Drosophila melanogaster: one gene and its partner. The protein of the gene in region 2 interacts with the protein of the main gene of each other region in a pairwise test. Each region holds a gene or a part of one and is shown on either strand. Other genes may lie near its edges.

Region 1 (4,002 bases), on a different chromosome or scaffold from region 2:
CTGCTGCCCGTTCAGGCCGTAAACGTGGGCGAAACTTTCCACATAGTGGAGCACGACGCTCTGCAGCAGTCGGCAGAAGAAGCTCAGGAGGAGGAGTAGGAGGATAAGCCCTCGGTTGAGCATTAACAAAATCACAATGGAATCCACGTTCGGTAAAGTCTTCATGTTTCTCACGGACCTCGCTTGGAAAAGTCGTCTCACCATCCCTGTCATAGTCACAACTGCATTTCTCGTCATGGACATCCGCCTGCAGATCGAGATCAACATTCAGTCCGGGCAATTTGTGAGTGATGCAGTTGTCTTGCAAATCTAATTCGTTGATACTCGTATTTTAAAACCTGTTTACTTGATTGTTATGTTTTTTTTACGGTTATTGTTGCTTGTTATTAAAATGCATATGTGGCATTATAAATTGGTATTTTTTTTGTTTAGAATGCCAGCGATGTGGACGACGTTCAGGATGGCCTCGACGATCAGTTTAGGATGCACGATCACTGGTCGGACGACGAAAGCGGCAGTGACATCTATACAGATGAGGAGTACACAAACGACGATGGCAACAGCGAAGCGTCCCACTACAGCGTGGACATCTACGATCCCTGGGGGTCAGAAGACGAGGTAGACGCGAGCTATTCGCGAAGGATGCGGTTCTAAGACACAATATAAATTCTACATAGGTGTAAGCGAGAGTAACTAGCTTTATAGCTTATGTACATTCAGTAATGTCGAGCCCCTATTTATTCATCTCAAACAGTCATATTAAACAAAGGTATTTAAGTGCAATATCTTTATTCGCCCTTACATGTAGAGTTTGATCAACTCGTCGCTTACGGCCGAGGGTGTTAGTCTTCCGAGGTCGGTGAAGAGCAGGGTGATGTAGACGGGTGGCGTATAGTCGACCAGCGGGTGCACTTTGCTTACATCGTTTAGGTGTTTGCGGGAGTACTATAAATAAACCCACTCTTAATCGCCGTTCCTGCTTTAATGACGCAGTAAGAACCTACCTTGTACTCGTTTGGCAGATCGCGCTGATTGAGTGGATACAGACGGCTGAACTTGAAGCTTTCGGCCAGAACGTAGAAAGGTTTCTTCATCTCACGGGCGCACAGACCCATGGTGTAGGTGCCAATGCGGTTGATAATGCCACCACTCTCCACCACGGCTTCAGCCCCCACAAGCACAAAGTCCACCGATTCCATAACATAGCCGGTGGCTGAGTCCAGAATGAGCGTGCAATCGATGCCGGCCGCATGCAGATCCTTAACCATCTCTTCGCTAAGAACGGACAATGCTTACACCTGAATTCTATCGGAAACACACCCTAGCTTACCCAGAGTTTCCCGTGCCGCCCTGCGTCACATAAACGTGGAAGGACTTTTTGTTCTGCGAGGCTGTAATCAGCGCCTTGAGGACCACCCGGGATCGGGAGTGCGTCAATATACGGCAGCCATCGGTAATGAACCTTTGGGCCTGCTGGGCAATCACCTGGATTGGGTGGTACAATGAGGGGTTAGTTCATGCGCTAGCACTAGCTTTTCGTATGAGAGCCAACCTGCCGGGAATTGAGCAACTTGGTGAGGAAGATTTTTCCGCGATTCAACATAATCTGCCGGCACTCCTCCATGTGCTTGTCGTCCAGACTGAGGGTGATGAACCTGCAAAAGAGCTCTCCGGCAGAAACAATGGCTGCTATAGACAAATCCGTATTCCGCATGGCAGCCACCGCTTCCCTCATGGTTGTGTGTAGAATATGAATGGTTCCAACTGAGGAATATGTTGTAGATGATTTAAAATGGTTCAGTAAAGAGGTTTATTAGCCCACTAACATTGTTTCTTTTCCAGGATCATTAGCAGAGTCCTGATAGCCGCAATGCCGGAGGACAGATCCTTGTCCTCGTCCAGGAGCTGCAGGAAGTATTTGACCACATCTAAGGGTGAAAGCTTGTATTATCACTTCTGCGTAACTTTAGACCCATTCTTAGCTCACCAAAATCCTGGCCATTTTCCGTAATTTGCGGCATTTTTATGAAATTGTGAAAGCCTACCGCTGCACGTTAAACGTCAACAAAATAATCAGCTGTTCGAAGGCTTATTTACACTTCGCAATTCACAGGTTAATTTATCGATTGCCAATTCGCACCTTCCGATAACGATAACGATTGGCAGATTGCCGGGGCTGAAACGTAAACAATCCAAAATTCTATGGCTATGTTTGTTTTGTTAAACATATTCGGCCCAGAATTGTAGCAAAATTCACAGCATGTAAATTCAAGTTAACCGCCGGCAACGCATTAAATGAAGAGTGTCATATAAGTGAGCAGTCAACAGCGCTGGGATCGAGGCCTGAGCCTCCGGCGTCGCCACACCATGTTCAAACTGGAGTCCTACATCACTCCGATTCTGCTGAGCTACGTGGCCAAGTACGTGAAGAACTTCCGCGACGAGGATGCCCAAGTGTCGCTGTGGGAAGGCGAGGTCACCTTCCAGAATCTGGACCTGCGCCTGGAGGTGCTCGAGGAAGAGCTGAACCTCCCAGTAGAACTAGTTTCCGGCCACATTCATGAACTCAGCATCCTGGTGCCGTGGACCAAGCTTATGTCCGAGCCCGTGAAGATCGTCATCAATACCATAGAATTCGTGGCCAAGTTGCCGGATAGTGAGAGCAAGCAGCGCAGGGCCTCCTTCCAGCGGGAGCAGCGAAGGAAATCGAAGCGGGAGTCCGTGGAGCAGCCGGATCAGACGAAGAGTCCTGGACCGGCAAGCTCTTCCAGCGTGGTCAACAAAATCATCAACAACATCAACCTGCAGTGCCACAACATCATCCTGAAGTATGTGGAGGACGACATCGTGGTCTCTATGAATGTGCAGACCCTTAACTTTAGCTCCGCCGGCGAGGACTGGAAGCCCACTATGGTGGACATACACCCGGTGTCCGTCGTCATGCGCAAGTTGCTCCAGGTCTCAGATTTGACCATCTGCTTGGACAAGCGCAACACAGCTGGTAGGATAGAGGTGTGCCAGGAGCCGGTTCTCTACCGATGTACTCTGGAGTGCCGGGTTCTCCGCAAGTACAACGCCAACACGGTGTCCACAACAAGCACAACACGCATTGGAGTTTTCACGAAGTCGCTGGATATCAACGTGTCATCTCTGCAGTTCCCCATGGTGATGAGGCTGGTCAAAATGCTGCTCGAGCTTAAGCCAGCCGAGTTTGAGGATGACCCCCAGAATCCAGAAGATCAGGAGGCGGTAGCTGAGGGCAGCGAGTCGCAACAGGGGACCGAATCCGCAGGACGAAGCGTCTTTTGGTGGGCCTGGAGCCTACTGCCCAGTTTCGATACTGAGGCGCCTTCCTCGTCCTGCGACACTCCCACTGGTCACGCCTTCGATCTGGGAGTCTACGCCGAGGAGCTGAACTTCCAGCTTAAAAACTCGGAGTACTTTACCGACCAGAGCATGGGTGGCATCAAGCGAATACGATACACCCCAATATTGCGAATTAGTTTGGGCGGACTTTATTACGAGCGGACAATTCTAAAGGAGTGCGACTGGGCCAACGTCAAGGCGGGCCTTTCTAGCATGTGCATGGAGCCATTAGGTGCTTACCGTAGCGACGATCTCGTGGATCGCAACTTGGTCAATACCCAGGAAGTGAGTTGATCCTAAGACTGTTTATTGCCTTCACTCTTTACTATTTTTTATATAAAGTTTCAGCAAGAGCGATCCTTTATTGACAAGAGTCTGTTTGACGAGAACTACATGTTCGCCGAACGGTCCTGGTGCAGCTACAACTACGCGGATTACGTGGCCAGGAACACGGATGAATACATGCTGTTTCGCAGTCCTGTTTTGGCCTTCGACGTCATCGAGCACCGGGTGCCTAAGCCCAGCAGCCATCCCGTGGCGGAGAGCCAGCTCAGAGATCTGGGAGTTCGCATCCAGTATCGTCTATTGTCCGCCGGAATCACGTTCCACTTTTCGCAGTCGTTCGTCCAGGTTAAA
Region 2 (4,121 bases):
GTGGAGCGCTGATTTCAATGGCTACAAAAACCGTCCACGTATTAAAAGTTCTGCCTCGAACTGAAGACTGATTTTCTTTCTGGCCCTACAACGGCACACTGTGGGGAAATTAATTTCTGTTTCCCAAGAGATTTTAAGTCCATCGCTAGCATGTGAATGTCTTTTTACTTTTTTTTTACGTTAGTATCGGCTTAAAAATATCAATTTTGTTTATTAAAAACTGGAGAGACCGCCGTAGTCGAGTAGCTCGAATATCACATACATACCACTTCCAATTTGCAGGTACGCGAGGGACTCGAGAAAGGCTTTTCACTTGTTTTTTATCTGTGGTATTTAGACATAATACGTTTAGGAACCGAGAATAGTGTTTTAAATTGCCTTTTTAACGACTTTTATCGAATGCTTCTAGGTTCATTGGTGGTGGATGTTTAACTTTTTAGTGTTTTTTCTCCGCTAAACTAGTCGTTTTTTTTTAATATATAATAATAATAAAATCGCTCGGTTCACCAGGACACTTAAAATACATGGCGTATTTAAATGAGTTAAAATTAACATATTTGAAACTTTTCCGAACGAAGAATCAGAAATCATTACACTTTTTATTTTTGGCAAAATACCACTTCTACTCCCTATTACCAACCTACTGGACAACCTACCTTCGCTGCGTTACCCTTCCGTCACAACGTGGACTGCTGTCCACATTGATCCTTAACTTAAAATGTAATCACTCCGCTTGGAATTTTAATTTAAAATTTAAATATTGTTTTTATTTATTCAAGGGCTTACAACACGCCCCTGGAAATATATGGTGTTCGCATCGCGAATGACGAAGGCAAAGGGATGATCGGCCATGAGGAACGTAGAAAATCCCGCTCGATTTGTGACGGCCACAGCTGGGAATCATTGGGAACAGTGAGTATATAGGAGTCAACATTCGACGCTGATAACCAAATCGGTACTTACATGTGGCACCTGCGGCCTCCGCTCCCTCCTCGTTCACCTCCAGAAACGCCTTGTGCGAGACCTGACTGACTTTGCCGCCTGACTTATCGGCGAACAAGCCGCTTAAGTCTGACTTGTCGGTGAATAGCTCTCGGATGCCCAGCTTAAATAGAATCGAGCGTCAAAGTGGCACAACCGTGTTTTTCTTGACGGAGTCTTACCTTCTCTAAGGTCTCTTTGAGTTCATCACGAAATTCGATTTTAAACTTGGGCAGCTTAAGATAGACCTCCTTGGCAACCAGCGGCCTGGCGAAGCCAACGATCTTCTCTTCCAGGGCGCTCAAGCCCTCCACTTCTCGGGGCAGAAAGATAGTCATGGACAGGTTGGAGTTAAGGTACGGCAGCTCGATGACTTGGGCATCTAGATCGCGGAAGTAGTTAGCCCTGAATGTTCCCATTTGCGCCATCATCTGGACGGGCACACTCTTGTTCGCAGTTACTTGGAAGGTGGAGGCTCTGGTCTTAGCTGGGTCAAACTTCGACTCCCACTGGCCCTTAAAGTAGATGGCGTTCACCAGCAAGGCCTTCACGTCGGACGTCATGCTGCCGGGATCGATCATGCCCTTGATTTTACCACTGGTCTGATCCAGCACCCACTGGTTGATTCTCTCGGCCGCCACAGGGCCATTGGTCAGACTAATGGACTCCGCCTCGGACTTGAAGGGTTCCCTCACAGCGAGGTTGTAGTTCTGATTCAGGCTGTACTGGTCGTTGACGTAGATGCGATTCGCGAGCTTTAGTATGGGTCCCTCCTCCTGTCCCTGAAGATCGTTGAGGAGAGCACCGTACCTGGCTGCCACCGCCTCTTTGTCCTCCGATGGTAAACCTAAGGCGCTCTGCAGCTCCTTGGCCGTCGAGCCTTCTGCGCCCATGAAGACCATGCTAAGGATGGTCTCTATGGAGACGGGCGAGACGACGAGGTTCTGGTTTGTATGGCTCTTGGAAAGTAGTTGGTAGATCTCTTTGGAGGTCTGACATGCCACTGAAGTGACCCACAGGAAAATGCCTAGTTTGGGGATGTTAATTATCAATTCGTTTTCAGCGTTCGGAAATTCTGTTCATGCATATTAAACTTGATATTTTTTACTTTTACAGACTAAAGCAAATCGAATTCAACGAAAGCGGATAGTCTTTGTAAGTTAAAAGTTAATGCCATAGCAAACGTCTTCACCATATTGTTTTATTATTTTCTATGAATTTAATTTAAATCATAAGTTATTATAGGTAATTTATTGCTTTGTATTTTAATTCACTGGCTATAAGCGATCGCCACTTACACAAGTAATACATTTGACCGTCTACAACGAACTCTTCCCCGAGATAAGTATCTCTGTAAACTGAGCGCCGAGTGCCAAGACGAGCTCATATATGCACTGGACATATATGTACCTACTGGCGATACTTCATTACGTTACTGAGAACTGCGCACACAGCTCTCTCGGATTGAAATCCAATGACGTCTAGTGGGATTTCATAGCTGAGTTCTATTCGGTCTCACTGCTGTTCTTAGACATTGTACATGTTGGCATCGAAACCTTCCCGTGACAAGCCCTCCTCTCCTGATCCAGATCCAGACTTGGGGTTCGAGAATCGGCCGGCGAAGAAGACGGCCTGCGGGTTTCGTATGTAAAAGACGAACGGGTGATCCGCCTTGAAGAGCTTCTTGTTCATGTTGAGCATCATGGGTACTATCTTCATGACTGAGTGTGGGAATCAGAGTTGAGATTAGTACGAGCAAGTTTGAGTTGCAAGCAGCTGATTTCACTTACAACTGACTGCTGCTGCCTCCGATCCTGCCTCATTTACGTCGATGTAGCCGCGGTGCCTTGCTGCCGAGATTTTTTGGCCACTTTGCGAGGTAAAGAGCCCGTCTAGCTTGGCCTTATCGCTGAAGACTTCCGTAATACCCAGCTGAGAATAAATATCAGATATTACATTGTTATTAAAACAAAGCCACTATTATCGGTTAAATGTATCTTACCTGATTAAGTACCTGCTTGAGGTCCACGTCGTACTCTATGCACATCCTGGGCAGAAAGATCTCGACATCCTGCAAGGTCAGCGCTGCGTCAATATCGGCTAGATCCACGGTGTTGAGTTGCTGCTCTAACTCCTGCAGACCGTTTACTTCGTTGGGCAGCAGAATTAGCATGTGAATGTTTGAGTAATCATAGGGCAGTTGCACAGCTCGAGCCTTCAGCTGTGGCAGTTCTGCGAACCGGAACTTGTCCTCTTGGTACATCATATTCACCTGCACGTGAGTGTCCCGGTCCACGTGGAAATGGTCAATCGATGTGGTCTCTGGCATAAATGGTTTCTGCCACTTTCCCTTAAAGTACAAGACATTGATGAGCAGGGCGCTCGTTTCGTTGTTCACGGCATCCGATTGAAGCAGGTTGGTGATCTTATGCTCCGTCTCCTGTTCCACCCAGTCGTTGATCAGCTGCGTAGCTCCCTCCGAATCGGCGAACCTCGTCGCCTCGGCCTTCGACTGGAAGAAGTCCACGGCGATCTCGTTGAACTCGGTAAGCAGTTCCAAGGAATCGTTGACGTACAATCGGTTCACGGACTTCAACACGGGTCCCCTGTCGCCGTAGTTACAGCTCGTGCGCCAGAACTCTCCGAAGTTTAGGGCTATGTGATGGCGATCTCCTGGTCCTAGCTGAAGCCCATTCCTTAGCTCCTCTGCTGTAGATCCGGAAGCCCCCATAAATGCCAAGGTCAATGCACTTTGGACGGATGCTGGAGAGAAAACCGTATTTATGTGGGGGTCTTTGCTCTGTTGCAGGGCATCTTTGGTAATGACATCTATCAGATTTCGCGCAAACTGATTTCTGCCTTCTTGGGGTTCGCTCATCTCGATCTGGGCAAAAAAATATATGTTTTAATTTATATTTTTAAATACTTAAATGTAACATAAGTATACAAAAATAAGACATTTTCGGGCCAAATCTCATTATCTCATTTGGCATTATCGCCAGCTGTTAAGCGCCAACTTGATCAATCCAGAACAATTTCGAATTCGGATTCAATCTTTAATAAAATAAAACATTTTCAAAATTGCCTATGCTAATTAAAAATAAATCCGAAATCCCAGAATGACGTATTAGCTTACAACT

The links.
Region 1: the proteins of Spn42Dd (region 2) and eIF2Balpha interact in a two-hybrid assay, tested with the Drosophila melanogaster proteins (one large-scale study listed by BioGRID).

What each region holds. Positions count from the first base shown.
Region 1 is NT_033777.3:29,933,807-29,937,808, forward strand, and holds eIF2Balpha (eukaryotic translation initiation factor 2B subunit alpha), read right to left. Parts: upstream 2,083-4,002; 5' UTR 2,022-2,082; coding exon 1,988-2,021; intron 1,929-1,987; coding exon 1,827-1,928; intron 1,765-1,826; coding exon 1,553-1,764; intron 1,486-1,552; coding exon 1,331-1,485; intron 1,276-1,330; coding exon 1,005-1,275; intron 946-1,004; coding exon 799-945; 3' UTR 776-798; downstream 1-775. Other genes in the region: CG42557 (uncharacterized protein), read left to right, coding at 1-99; CG42558 (uncharacterized protein), read left to right, coding at 137-283, 433-654; Vps13B (vacuolar protein sorting 13B), read left to right, coding at 2,368-3,651, 3,709-4,002.
Region 2 is NT_033778.4:6,881,501-6,885,621, reverse strand, and holds Spn42Dd (serpin 42Dd), read right to left. Parts: upstream 2,343-4,121; 5' UTR 2,293-2,342; coding exon 2,280-2,292; exon of another isoform or gene 2,215-2,279; intron 2,009-2,214; coding exon 1,164-2,008; intron 1,106-1,163; coding exon 964-1,105; intron 894-963; coding exon 775-893; 3' UTR 749-774; downstream 1-748. Other genes in the region: Spn42Dc (serpin 42Dc), read right to left, coding at 2,509-2,702, 2,772-2,913, 2,984-3,859.